Linked DNA regions of Astyanax mexicanus. The protein of the gene in region 1 interacts with the protein of each later gene in a pairwise test. Links are inferred from orthologs where the notes say so. Each region holds a gene or a part of one and is shown on either strand. Other genes may lie near its edges.

What was found.
Region 2: the proteins of rbm41 (region 1) and RNA-binding Raly-like protein interact in binary tests that used the Homo sapiens proteins (3 or more experiments, as listed by UniProt). The two-hybrid records come from large-scale screens. The link is inferred for Astyanax mexicanus from reciprocal best matches to the Homo sapiens genes RBM41 and RALYL.

Annotation. Positions count from the first base shown.
Region 1 is NC_064424.1:16,702,639-16,710,239, reverse strand, and holds the start of rbm41 (RNA-binding protein 41), read left to right. Parts: upstream 1-4,561; 5' UTR 4,562-4,589; coding exon 4,590-4,624; intron 4,625-7,601. Other genes in the region: klf8 (Krueppel-like factor 8), read right to left, coding at 379-405. UniProt on the Homo sapiens protein: May bind RNA.
Region 2 is NC_064413.1:46,358,579-46,366,538, reverse strand, and holds the start of RNA-binding Raly-like protein, read right to left. Parts: upstream 3,082-7,960; 5' UTR 3,035-3,081; coding exon 3,029-3,034; intron 1-3,028.

The sequences.
Region 1 (7,601 bases):
GCCTCTGACCTGGCTTACAGCTGTCAGCAGGCTCGGCGGGGAAAGAGAAGAGAAGGGGACGGGACCTAACCTCACCTTGCCATGCTTTGAGCTAACCTACCATTCTTACCTGGATTGGCAGCTGCTGTAGAAGTCTTTAGGTAGCTCGCGTTAGTGAACAGCCCGCAGGAAAGAGCTTTAGTTCGGTTTGTTTTAGTTTTAGCACAGAACCGGCTGACATTTATTTAACTAACTAGCTAACCTAGTACATATCACCGGCCCGAGAGCTGTTGTTACCTAGCAGCGGCTAATAGCTAGTTAGCTATCTAACTAGCGTTAAGTCCTGTCCTGCAGTTCTGATAACAAGTCAACAACGGGTAATAAAACAGACTTACTTACTTTCTTATTCCGAGTCTCCGTGTGCATCTCGGTAGCTAAGCAAGCGGGTGCGGTGGTTAAAAAGGGGTGGAGTGGAGAGGGAGGGAGAGAGGGGGTCGCTCGGGTGGGGTGTGTTTCAATAATAGCTAAGCTAGGTTAGGTTAGGTTCGTAACGTCGACGGCAGTTTTCCACCTTTCGTATCGGGTTTTTGGAGGCTACGGTGATGGTCGTCGCCTCAGCGAGTGGTACGAATCATGTCCCCGGCGTCGAAAAAATCCTCTTTCCTCCCCCCCAAAGCGTCTTTCTGTGTGTGTGTAAGAGAGAGAGTGTGTGTGTGTGTGTGTGTGTTGTTGCCGTGTTCAGGGTTGGGCTCTCAGGCTCTCCGTCTCTCCTCCGCCTCTCCCCTGCTTCTGACCCCACCCTGCGTCCCCACCCCTCCGCGCCGTCAGTCAGAGGCTGCAGAGCTGCTCGAACCACCAGCAGCAGCAGTAGCAGCAGCAGCGCCCGGCTCTCCTCAGCTCAACCTTCGCCTGCTCGCAGCTTTTCAATATGATCGCAGCCATGTTTTTCTTTTCATCTCTTTTTTCATTCCTGCTCGCTCTACTGAACACACCCTGCCGCCTCACCTACTGACGTCAGCGCGTACCGGATGTTCTTTCGCTTTCTCCTCATCCTCCTCCAGCAGCAGTAACTTTCCTCCAGCTCAGAGCAGAGCTGAAAGATGCTGATGAAACTCAGTGATATCATGATACTCACGCAGTGTTAGACGCAATTCACAAAGCATATAGTCAAACTAAAAAAAAATTACTTCTTTGAGACTTCCACTTGAGATGGTACATCTTGTACATTTGCACTCCAGGGCACTATTAACTCCTTATGGTACATCCTGTGCATTCACACTCCTGGACACTACTTACACTGAACTTAAATACAATACTTGCACAATACCAGTTTATGTTTAGTATTTTTCGTATCTACTGATACCTGCTATCCCTTATACTTAATTTATTCTGCATTACTGAACTACCTCCAATCTACATCTGACTACTGTCACAGTTTGTATAGTTTTTGTATTTATATATTCATGTATATGTATTCTTCATTCAGCATTTTTTATTTTTTTATATACCTTATAATGTATAGTTAATATTTCAAATCTCAATTTGAATCTTATTTAGTCTTATATTTCTTACTGGAAGAGGGGAAAAAATGTATGCCATGATGAAATATTAACAATTTTATTTTTATTCTCTTTATCTTTGAATATACAACTCTGAGAAATAGGAACTGTACAACTGCAAACAAAAGCAGTTACTAAAAGTAGCTGAAACTAGAGCGTTAATATTAAACTTAACTTACATCACTACAGTAAAGCTGAATATAAAGAATGTTATCCACCACTACCAATCTGATTGAACATCTGATCTCAAAAACACAACAGTAAAACAAATAGAACATGAACAGACCCCTAGATATGGTAATCCAATGTAAAATGCTAATTCAAAAGGCAGAAGGTTGAGGACATTATGTTGATTCAATGTTAAAATTTCAACGTTGGCACAACCATCTGATATTAAATATTGTTTCAGTTGAAGCGACAACAGATATCAACTATATTGGAACAACCTTTAAGTGTTGAAGGTCGGATGTGTGCCAGCTGGGAAGTGCACTTAAGCAGCAAAAGTAAAAGTACTGTGATTTAGGCTCTAATATCTATCATTTTTTTGTTTAAAGGGAAAATCTAGTTTGAAATAGACTTGGGGTTTAGTGTAATGAGTTCATGAGTTTTAGCCGATGCTCCCAACAGGCTTACAATGCAAGTGATAACTAATGCAAAGAAATCAAAGTAGCTCCACACTGCATTGTTAGAACTCTAGAGCCCTGACATGTAAAATTAGGCAGTTTGAGAACTTTGAAAGAGTCATGTTAAAGGTGTTATTTCACTAGAAACTGATTAGAACTTGCTCTTTTTTAAATACAATAGGTCACTCCAAGTTGCATATGCATGCTGTACGTGAAACTGTTCTTCTATCCCCATTGCCTGTATTATATTTAACACCAGCAGCAGTAACTTTCCTCCACCTCAGAGCAGAGCTGAAAGATGCTGATGAAACTCAGTAATATCATAAGATTTAAAGCAGTATTAGATGCAACACAAAAAACATATAGCTAGCCACTTATCTTCCTAAGGAAAAATAGAAAATAAAAAAAACAGTAAAATATGCTGCTTTTAGACTTCCACTTGTATACAAGTGCAAAAGTTCTTGCTTTAATTGCACTAAGTAGCAAAAGTATTGTGATTTGGAAGTAGTGTGAAAGACTCATTAATCTCACTTACTAGTGTCACCCTTGCTACATCATTTTTTTAAATAGAATGTCCACTAAATAATCTGACACTGACATTAAACATTAGTCATAAACAAAACACTAAAGACAAACATTTTCAAATAGGTAGAACCGAGTGGCTATAAATAACATTTTGCAAACAAGAAAAGTTTTTGTTTTAGATTCACATTTTGCAACTTTAAGTTTAATAAAGACACACTGAATCAAATGTTCCCAAATGAGTTTTCCTTTAATATACTGCATCTATATGTTTACTATATTTCATAATTTATGTAAGGATAGGTACTCCCAAAATTGTACACTGATGCACTGTTGTTGAACAGCATGATTGGACTGGGAATCTATGTCCAACAGGTCTAAACTGGTTCAGTTATGGGAACTATACAGAGGGCAGTAAATGTTCATTAGATAACCGTTCATTCTGAAAATGACATCCTCATATGGGGCTCACATGGGCTAGGAAGGAATGGGTTCTGAGTGGATGTGTACACTGTTAAAATAAAAAGACACTTGAGGAACCTGTAGGAGTTCTTTATGGAAAATGTACTGTGAACTTGCTTCTGATCAAATATCACTGAAAAGGTTGCTACAGCTACAACTAGTTGAGAACTTCACATCACTAATCATCACACCATGTAATCTGTGTTATTTCACCTGACATGAAGATACAAAATCACACTCATGCAAACACACTGTTAGTGTGGTGCATTTGAAATGCCCTTTTGCAATTGTAAATACATTCAACAGCACTCAACTAATATTCAGTGTTTTAAGGGGGATATACACTCTAATGCAATAATTTGGGCAACCTTGGCCAAAGGACACATTCACATGTTATAGTTGTGGTACAAATTGCACATTTTGCAATATAAAACAATATAATCACAATCCACAATACAAAAAAACTGGTCAGTTTTTACGGGTGGTTACAATATACACTTTTTTCCACAATCCAATGTGAAATGACACAGAAGGAGCTACTCATGTCTGGAACAAGAAATGAGAAAAAACAAACAGATAATGATGCAAATGCAGTGACATTGTCAGCTTGAGAACTTGCTGTAACTGCAATCTTGGTATAGCAATGCTAGTTTATGCCTAATACTGTTAGTGTGTTGTACACAACTGGTGTACTCACTAATGTATTCAAACTTTGCATTCTTTTGCTAACATTCAGCCACTACTGTCTCCTCTAAGCAACTACCTAAAAAATTGACAATGAAAGCAATCAGTGCCCACAAAGAAGGAGCAGTACAAATACAGCCAAGACTTTGTTGTTGTTGCGTTCTGCAGTGTGGAATTGTATTTAAAACCGAGGTTCATGGGAACTGTGGAAGTCAAGACAGAGTCTGGAAGATGAAGAAATCTCCCAGAGAATTGGTATGAAAGGCAAATCATTAAATCAAACCCCAAGATGACAGCACAGAAGTGTAGTTAAAAAAAAAGCTGAAGATAAGATAAAATTAAACCAAAATATACCAGAAACCCACCATGGATTACCTGAATAGACCAAAACATCAGAAACTAACAATTGTGATAGACCTTATAAACATACATTTAAATTTGAGCCCTTGTCTGTATGAAAACACATGAATAAGATTGTTATTATAAAATATTATTGCCGTATTTAAATCGCAGCTCTACTGTATTTATTGTCTGTTCACATTTGATTACTGAAGCTTTACTGACGACCACTCACTTGTTATAAAGGTTAACGCTCTTTTTCCATTAAACTACATATCCCAGAGTTCGTAGTTTTGACAATAGCACTTCCGCTGACAGCAGGAAGTGGGTTTGTTTTGGAGAGCATGAAGCGGTAAGACTCAAATTAGTATCGGGGTGTTTGTGTAAAGCAGTGTTTAAGTGTGTTCTGTCTGTTAAGCTAATGCTGAGAATGGGTGTTTTTGTGTGTACTGTAAGGTAAAGTCTTCGTATTATGTGTTAAAGGCACCGATAAAGGCAGTCAGCTCTCAGTGCTCAGTAACGGAGCTAAGCTAACCTAGACAATAATACGTTAACTAACGTTAGCTATTTAATACTATATCTTTTTTTTATAGAGACTCGTCTGTATTGATTATAATTTGATTTTATGTAGTGTCTTTACAATGTTTGGGATGTGGAGTTCAGAACCTGCATTAGTTAAAACAGGCTTACAGATACAGATTCTGATGGATTGCTGTAAGCAGGACAGATTCGGTTCAGTGTAACGCTTACCAGCTACATTTTTTGATAATAGAATATTGTGTGTAAAAACAGTTTAAACAAGTGTATAGTAACGAAGTAGAACTACTTCACTACTGTAAGTAAATACTAAACATCTGTATATGTAACGTTATCTACTGGAGCATTATTTCCCTCTATTGAATTCGTTTACTCTGATTTTGTGCCGAATCGTTACTCGTTACTCGTTAATCGTTACAATTAAATATGATACGGTAGAGGCTCTGCACAGTCAAGGGGTTTGATAAAGCTCCTAATCACTGAGCGAATCAAGAGATCAAGCTGATTTAATAAGAAGATTTCGCTTCTACCGTTCTGCCCTTCACTTTGAGAACTTTCCATCGCTTTCTGTAATAACTACATAACACAGTACTGTACCTTTACTCTCATTACATAAACTACCAGCAATACTTAAGTACAAAAATGTTACTTTAGTACTTTCACTTAAGTGTTGTATTTAAAGAACACTTCAACTTTTACTAGTCACTTTTTTTGATAGATTTGTTTGGGTTTCAAGGTCTTTATTAGGGGTGGGCGATATGGCCCTAAAATAATCTCACAATATTTCATGGTAATAACGTGATAGCGATATGAAAAAAAAAAAAAAACACACTACTGCAACAAAACAAAATTTACATTTTATTATTGTATAGGATATGATATTGCACACCTCTAACTGAGATATAAAAAAAAATACAAGAATTTTAGCAAATTTGTAACAGAACTCCAAATATCTCCATATATCCAGGATTAAAGTAAAATAAATTATACTGGACAGATATAATCTGTCTCTAGTATATATATAATAGGAAATGAGAAATGTATGAATTTTTATTTTGCTTAAAACAAGAAAAAAGTAGAACCCTGATGTGATAGTTAGGGGTGAGTGTTATGGCACGATATTTCAGGGTATAATATCGTTCACGATATTCAAAAATGTTGGCGATATTATCGCGTACGATACGATATGGCACACCCCTAGTCCTGGGGCTTCTTTCATCTTGCCAATTTTCTAGTTTTTTATTGTAGAAAAAAATGTAAATCAATTTTTATTATACTAAACAGGAAAAAAATGAAAATTTAGTTTAACACCTGATTTTCGAGTGTAGCTTCAAAAAACTGATTTGATGAATGTTACAGGAACTAACCACATTCAGTCTGTATGTGTCTCCCATGCACACATACATACACAAAGAGGACATATGCAGCACCCTTGTGCTAGTCCTGCATGTAACAGTCTAGAGTACATTAACACTCCTAACACTACCTATGACTAGTTGTTTTATATGTGTAATTAAATAGTTTTCCTATTCCTTACATAATTAAATAATCTTTTGATAGTCTCATGTCAGTCGAGATTTATACGTCTAACTGAATTTCAATAAGCTGTACAACAGTTTTAGGGATATTACACCCACTTATCAGCAGCAGCAGCTGTTCATCAGAGTTTATTGCTCTTACCCTGCAGTAACTCACTTCTCTTTTCTAGTAAGGCTGGAAAATACATGTTGGAACATTAAGTAGCATTAGCGAAATCGGATACTGGAGTTGTTTCATGATTAGCTACTACTCCAGTTAGTCACAAGGACGTTCCATCATTCTAGAGAACACAGTTCCAGGTGTTTAGTGATGTCAGAAATCATGATATAATATTTTACTCATTATTGGTTTGTTCCAATTTAACAACCTCAGAAAAAAATGTCTATTATGGTTTGTTTTGTAAGAATGGTTAAATAGTTTTTGGTAGTATGCAAAGCACTGGCGGTTCTAGGGGTGGGGTCACAGGGGCAATGGCTCCAGCTGAAATTTGATTGGCCACCTGAAGTGCCCCTGTCCACTAATGTTGTATATGTTTAGTAAAAATGCATCTAAAATTGGTGTGGATATTTTTATGTTAGTTTTAAGTTAATTTGGTGCCAAAGGTTTTACACTAAAATCTGGCAGATTATATACATATAGATGCAAAAACAAATAAGCAAAAGCAAACAAGAGATTTCAGAAGCAAAATCCATATATAATCTAATAATTTTTATATATATTTGATATATTGCGTAGACATTTTCCTTTATTCTTTATTATTCTTAAAATTTTTATTTCATTTTTGTGTAAAACTTTTAAAATGAATAGATTATGCTGTGCAATATTTAAATGTTTGAATAGTTTGACTGGTGAAAGGTCTCCATATTGTGGCTTCCTGATGGTGCTTATCTCACAAAACCCATGATCTGCAACTGGTGCAAACTACTTTAAACTGTTAAAAAAACAGATGTAATTTGTATGATTTTTTATGACAAATTGTGTGCAATTGATGAAGTATTGACAGTATTACAAAAAAAAGCTTTTTTTTATTTTACATTACAATAACAACAACAAGAATATGCCATTATTGCATCAGTCCCGCACTTTTCCAAGGTGTTGTCTTTATAAATTGTTGTCCTCTTTCTCTACAAATTTGAAATGAACACTTCTTTTTTTGAGATTTGAGATTTTATTTTTAATTTGATATTATTTGGTTAAATCTGTACAATGAAGAACAAGCAAAGGGAATAGAGAATCATATTAACCATTCAAAACATTAAAACTGCTATGTGTAAATTGACTATTTAAACTGATCATTTTCGAAGCTGACCTTCTGACTTCTTACATTGTAAGACCAGTGTATGTCAATTGTAGTGTT
Region 2 (7,960 bases), on another chromosome or scaffold:
CAAATGTTCCATCTAACTACACTGCTAAAACTCATAGAACATGAAACTAGTTCTTTTCCATTTCCCATGACTTTTGCCATGTCCCATTGAAGTTAGTACAGATACACTGTGTGTGTGTGTGTGTGTGTGTGTGTGTGTGTGTGTGCGGGTGTGTGAGGCGTACTGCATGAAATGTGTATATAAATTCTGCTCTCTCTGTTCACACAGGCAATTCTAGCCAGACACCACCAGTCACAATCATTACTACCCACTGTGCTGTCCACTGAGGGTGATAATGCCTTTTCTGATGGATTCTGGTACACATATGATAATATAGATCAAAGAATGTTAAATGTCCCATTCATCTGCACCCACTACTAGACATCACTCCAACTCAAATAACTTACACCACCTTGCCATGAGCACACTGACCAGTGATGTTCAGACTCACTCAACTTCTAGAAATTACTCAACAACTAATACAGGTGTGATTGATTGCTCTTGATATTTCCCATCACTTCAGTTTGTATCCATACAATATCAGTCAAATGTTTGGACACACATTTTAAAATTGTATGCATTGTAGAGTAATACTGAAGTCATTCAACCTATGCAGAAAAAAGTGTTAAATCGGAATATGCGCTATATTTTAGATTATACAAAATTAGCAACTATTGCTTAAATAGAGACAATTTTGTACATCTTGGCTGGATCTTCACAGTCAGCTTTATGAAGCAGAGTCACCTGGACTTCAGGCTTTCAGTTAACAGCTGTGTTGAACTTATTAAGAGTCAATTACTTGAATTTCTTGCCTCTTAATGTGTTTGAGAGCATCAGTTGTAAAGTTGTGAAGAGGTAGAGTTACAGGTATACAGTGAATAGCCCTATTTAAGTGGTGTTCTAATTCATCGTATGGCAAGAACTACTCAACTAAGTATAGAAAAAAATACTTTTAAAGGTCAGAGAATCTGAAAATTTCTTTGAAAAGTATTTTTTGAAAGTATTCTTAAGCTCAGTCGAGAAGACCATCAAAAACCTTATGATGGAACTGGCACTCATCAGGACTGCTGCAGGAAAGGGAGAGCAATAGTTTTCTTCTGTTGAACAAGATAGTTCATCACCTAAACGCTTCACATAGTATTTTGGATTTTGGACATAATTCATTATGTGTTCTTTCAAAGTTTGGATAAATTCAGTATTTATTTACAATTTACTAAAATAAAACATTGCATGAGAAGGTATGTCCACATTTTTGAATGGTACTGTATATATACAGCTCTGGAAAAAAATAGTTTCTTTGATTTTACCAGGAGTGGCATAAAGTTATCCAAAAGCAGTGTGTAAAACTGGTGGAGGTGAACATGCCAACATGCATGAAAACTGTGATTAAAATCCAGTAGGACTGGTGTCTTGGTTTAAAGTGCAATTTCGTCTGATTACCTTCGGTCACTGGTTATTGCAGGCACTTTAAGTTCACATTACATTAATAACGTCCTGTTACCAGCTCCTATTCTAACAGGACAATGCTTGTCCACATACCGCTGCTATCTCCAGAGCTTCCCTTAAAGACACAGATGCTGTGCCATTCATTCTATACAGTATCTTATAATCTTTATGAAGCTACAATAGGAATTTGTTTATACACTGAGGTTCAGAAGTTTCCTCCAGCCCCTGCAGTGGCTAATTCCACTCTGATATTCACTGTGACGCTCATGTCAAACCTCCACAAGCACAGCCCACTCTGCAGCCGCCGGAGATACTGAACGAGGGTTGTTCATTGTGACAGGCACTAGAGAGGATATGTGTGTGAGAGAGAGAGAGTCAGTGTGTCTTACAAGCACCTGAAAGTGGAGACTGTTATTATCACAGCTGCTCAGAAGTGTAGGCAGGAGAAGCAGCAGCAGAATAGCTGTAATGCACTGTCTGCTACATGTTCCTACACACACACACACACACACACACTCAATTACGTGCATGCAATAATATTCACATCTGCAAAAAAACTCACCTAGCACCATACCACTACTATATATACTAAGCTATTAGCAGATACTGATCCAAAACATTTTGATCTAAAAGTAGCTACTTTAAACTAAAGCAGATAACTGTTTAAAATGTTCAAACACTGATTGCGTTTTCATACACTTCATAATCCAAAGTTTGTCAGTAATCTAATCTACGCATTTACACAAACTTGTGCAATTACCGTATTTTTCAGACTATAAGGCAGACTGAATTAAAAGGCTCACTATCAATGATTGTCTATTTTTTGGTCTATTTTCATGCATAAAATGCACCGGATTATAAGGCAACAATAGAAAGAATGCCTTAATCAAAGTGAACAAGAGTGTTTCCATGTTTCCGTTCTAGTAAACAAAACTGTAATTCCTCAAAAAAATGTGCTAGATGTTAATATACAGATTAATCTCCTGAAAACTGTTTAGTTGGGTAAGTAAAGCATTTCCATCTATTTACAGTAATCTTAGATTCCCAATATTTTGTCTAAGAGGGTGTTTTTTTAGTAAAGTTTCTCCAGAACTAAGGCTGGGTGCAGCAGCATTAGCATTAGCCACTAACCACAGCACTAGTGAGACTAGTGCCGCCCGTTAGTGGTTGATTGAGGAACCTGAGTGTTCCCGTAACCCAGGGTGCTATCAACCTGCGGTTTATCCCACGTAGATTGTTTTAACATGTGAAACATGCAGACTACAGTCCAATATACTCGCTTCTGAACTCGCTTCTGACAAAAGAGCTAGCGCTGTGGTTAGCGGCTATTGCTCATGCTGCTGCACCCAGCTCTAGTGCTGGAGAAACTTCACTGAAACCTCACTCTTATAACACTGTACTTCAATGGAGTGGCCTAACAGGTAAAATTCATACATAAGGCACACTGGATTATAAGGCGCAGTGCCAATTCGATCTATATAAGGCCAAACAAACTGCAACATATCTCCATCTGCCTATATTAGAAAAGAAAACATTGAATAAGTGTAAATGGACAAAAGAATTAATGAAAAAGAAGATATTTTGTGTTTTGAAATGGGCTGACCTTCATTCTCCTCAGCTACACTTGGTGAAGGTGAATTCCGCCGCAAAATGGGGACCTATAGGATATTAAATGCAAGGGTTTTACTTACTAACCAAGGGTTCTAGCATGCACTGTGAATATTTCTCTGTGCTCAATAAAGCTTATATTTACACACAATTTTATACTTTTTTGTAACCTATATTTTAAGTATGTATATCATAATTTTTGTTTAAGAAGTTTTAATATATATTGTGTCAATAATTGTGACTTAAATATCCATATAACCACATTGTATTAGTCATTAATGCAGATATCTGTACAATAAAAGCTGTAATTTCTATAGCTATTAAAAATACACACATACTTTCAGCAGTATGACTCATTATGGCTCCACACACACGTATGAGAAAAAACAAATGAAGGTGATGGTCAGCACATGGCCTTGCTGTACATAACCCACTCAACCCTCGCTCCAAAGAATAATGCCCACACTAGATTAGCACTGCAGGGCCTCAATATTTATACCAGTGTGGTCGTTTAGGAGGTCACTGGTCAACCTGCACATCCTTCTTTTCTCGCTCTCTTTTCGCTCAGCTCTTCTCTGATTCGCTGGAGAGGAGCAGTGCAATAAGCAGCCCACTGTTATTTAGGACCTCATACTGACACGGGTATTGATGGCAGTGGACAGAGAGGCGAGAACATTCGCAAATCAGCGGAGATGTGTTAAACTGCCTCTCTCGTCAGATAAATCACTTTTGTGGAGCGCTCTTGTGACAGCACCATCACACCCCCCTCACACCGCCCCTCCCCCGTGCCTCTGTGCTTCATGTCAGGTGTTCAGCGTGAGGGGCTTTTGGCTGAAGTTAATTGATTTCATCTCCCGCTCTGCCTGCGACCTCTGCTGCTTTTCTTAATTTATAATCCCCCATAATACCAGGTGCCCAGAACAGTGTCAATATGGTGGAAGGTGCTTCTCCCTGCCATGTGGTAAAAACAGACTCTCCCTGCACTGAGACAAAGTGTGCACAGCCTCTTTCTAGCCTTAGGAGGAATGAGACTCTCAGGGCAGAAGTAACCTCTCCCTACCCTCAGGGCAGAAGCATATCTCTGCCTTCAAGGTAAAGGAAGCCTCTCCCTACCCTCAGGGCAGAAGGAACCTTTTCATGCCCTCAGGGCAGATATAGCATCTCTGTCACCTTGAGCAGAAAAAAACTCTCCCTGTCCTCAGGGCAGAAGAAGCCAAATCCCTACCCTAAAGGCAGAGGGAGCCTCTCTCTGGCCTTAAGGCAGAAGGATCCTCTCCCTACCCTCAGGGAAGAAGAAGCCCCTCCCTGCCCTCAAAGCAGAGAAAGCCTCTCCCTGCCCTCAGGGCAGAAGGAGTGTATGCTTGCCTTCAAGGCAGAAGAAGCCTCTCATTACCTTAAGGGCAGAAGACACCTCTCTTTACCTTAAGGGCAGAAGACGCCTCTCCTTACCCTCAGGACAGAAGGAGCCTTTCCCTTCCCTCATGGCAGAAGAAGCCCCTCCCTGCCCTCAAGGCAGAAGGAGCCTCTCTCTGCCCCCAGGGCTAAAGAAGCCTCTCCCTGCCCTCAGGGCAGAAGGAGCCTCTCTCTGCCCTTAGGGCAGAAGAAGCCTATCCTTGCCCTTAAGGCAGAAGCAGCCTCTCCCTGCCCTCAGGAAGGAAGAAGTCTATCCCTGCCCTTAAGGCAGAGGGATCATCCCCCTTGCATTTAGGGCAGATTGATCCTCTCCCTGCCCTCAGGGTTGAATAAGCCTCTCCCTGCCCTCAGGGCAGACAGAACATATCTGTCCCCTTGGGCAGAAAAAAAAACTTTTCCTGTCCTTGGGCAAAAGAAACCTCTCACTGCCCTTAAGCAGAAATAGTCACTCTTTGCCATCAGCGTGAAAAGCCTCTCCCTGCCCTCAGGTGAAAGTAGCCACTCCCTGTCCTCAGACAGAAGTAGTTTCTGCCTGTCAAATGCATTCATGGGTCTGAGCAAATAACAAGAGATGACAGATATGCAAAGAGGAATAGGATGTTAGAACAACATAACAATCAAACTGTGCCCTCAATAATTGATCAAGAGAAAGACAAAACACCACTTATTTTTTCCCCTCCCTTCTTACAGTTTCTTCAGCCTTTAACCATTTTCATTTCTGGTATAGTTTGTTAGTCTTTTCATATTTAGTATTATAAGTAGAGACATTTTACCAACATTTTATCATGAATCTTCCTCGAGAGGCTAGGCTACCTATGCACTTATTGGATAGTTTATTACAATGACCTGTTCACCTTCTCCTTTGTGCAATGACCTTATCAGCCAATCATTTGCTAGCAGTGTAATGCATAAAATCATGCAGATACAGGACCATTGTATGGTGAACATCATGCTGTATATGTATGGGTAGCTCAACTGGACATCAGAACGTTTTTTTCTACTGTTTCTACTGATATTTCTACATAGGGGCCCACTGAGAATCCCAACTGTGCCCAGTAACAACACCTGTACCAACTCAATCATAGCCCCTGCCCACCTGGAAGCCATCTAGCACCATCTCCACATGGGCATGCTAGCTGGGCTTAGGCTATACTCAGTGATCTTAATCATGACACGAGTTCTTGTGCTCCTGTGAGAAAGACTATAATATTCACTTGAAAGAAAACATACTGTGAGTGGTAGATCTGAGGATGAAATGCCTTGTTTTCTGAGATTACGTCACTTCAAAAGTCCAACAGCTGATGTTCCAGTGGCTACACGCTCACCAATTGTACAGCTAACGAGTGACAAAAAGCCTGGTTCCAACAGTATAAATCCATGGACCAGGGACTTGCTTTATGTAAACACTCCAGACTGGTGGAGATGGAGGAGTGTGAGGTGCATTTTCCTTGGCATTCCTTGAGTTTGCTTGAATGCTTGAACCCTATTTGCTGACCATGTGCATCCCTTCATGGACGCAATTTACCAATCTTCTAATGGCTGCTTCCAATATGACAATGGATGGTTGATCAGTGGCATTGCCAGTGAAGAGATCTGAATACAACAGAACAACTTCCACCTGGTAGAATGAGAGATTCACAGCATATTAATGCTCTCATGAAAAATAAGCAATCATGTCATCATCTCAATAAGACACCCCACCTTACAGTTCTGTATTAGCATGCTTTGTTGTCTTGTTCTGATAAACATCTTACAATAGGATTATTTAGTTGCAACAGGACATCACATGTTACAAGACACACATCATTTACTTATGTGCGTCTTATAACAACATGTTTTCTAACATTCATATTGTCCATCTTCATGATCACGAAGAGCACAGTCAATCAGTTCAAACCTTCGAGTACCAGCACTTATTTATGCCTTTAAGTGCCGACTACATCCATTACACAGCAGGCACCTTTCAAGGCCTAACTGACAAGTGGATATGCACAGTATGCCAACCAATCAATAGAGTGACACACTGGATCCTCCACTCTGCATGACTGAGCTGAAAGATGGCGTCCGCAGCCAGGCGCTGCATAAATGATGCTAAAAGATGAAGTGGTGAGAGCAGTGTGTGTGTCTGTCTGGAACTTGCAGCAGGCACACGGCAGCGTGCACTGAGAGAGCTGGTGTGGTGTGAAGCAGTGCAGCCAGATTTGGCCCTGGGAGCGAATGCAACTGTAATGAATAGCATCAGGATAGATTGGCTGCTTAAAAGGCAGACGTCAGGCATGCAAAAAGCCTCGCCTGGGCTTTCATTAACATGTTCTTGCCAACTCCTTCATCGCACTTCCTGTGTAATTTTCACCTCCATGAGCGTGCTCGTACCGCCCAACGAGCAGAGAGGCAGCACCAGTCGGGGGAAGGTGGCAATCTGCCCGCAAAGCCGCTCAGTCAAACAGAACGAGCGGAGAGAGCAGCCCATGCCCTCTCCGTGAAGTGTCAGGTGGAGACACTGCGGCCCCACATTGGGCTGAGATGTGGTGCTTAAAAAGGCCTCTAAGAGCCCTCTCCGAGCCCTGCCACCCCCTGATTCATGATCACAATCTGCCGGCAAAGTTAGAATAATGAGAATAACCGCACTGCTGTTCACAGGCGTTATGTGCAATGTGTGTGTGTGTATATGTGTATGTGTGTGTGTGTGTGCTAGCCTCCTGCAGAAGAACCCTTTGGAACAACATTGCCTTATCACAGATCCTCATTCATCTCCCTGGTGCATCGGCTTAGTCTCTGCCGGCAGCAGGCTCTCCCCTCACCTCAAGCAAATTTCATTTCACTAGAAAATTGCTTCTTGTTCGCGGCAACCCTATTCTCCTCCTACTCTTCTGCCTCCTCTGTTCGCTAGCCCCGCACTAAATTCCACACTCATCGTAGTGCCTCCAGCAGTAATCCAATTAAGCATGAAGCAAATGAAGCTGTCTCTCATTCGCGAGGTGCAGTCACCTGCGCTGGGGAGATGGGCGGCAGAGGCGAGGCAGGACGATAATGCCACACTTGTTTCAATGGTACCTTTAATTGCCTGAAAGAAATCCCTTGTCCAGGGAAGACGGGGAGACACATTTGCGGTGATGGGATTTAATTGCCTTCGCTGGCGCGCCGTCGTGTTATTTACGTTAATCTCTGTAAACGCCCGTGTAGAAGGGAATCAATCTTGTTTTTCCTGCAAAAGGATCAGTGTGGAGGTGATTACCGTTCAACGACAACTTCCTCCTCTCCTCTCCAAGCCCAGGACGTGGAAGCTCGCCCAGCAAAGCTGAACAGGAGCATGCCAAGGTGAAAATCAGCCAAGGTTGTCACTGATCCGAAGTGAAAAAGCGAAAAAGCGAACTGCATACCCCCCGCCCCTTGTGTCAGATCGCCCGCTGGAGTCCAGAGAACATCACCGAGCAGCTCTTTGACCTTAATATCTTTAAGAAACTCCTGAAGACAGAGCTCTTCAATGAGCACTTACTCTCTTAACACCTCTAAC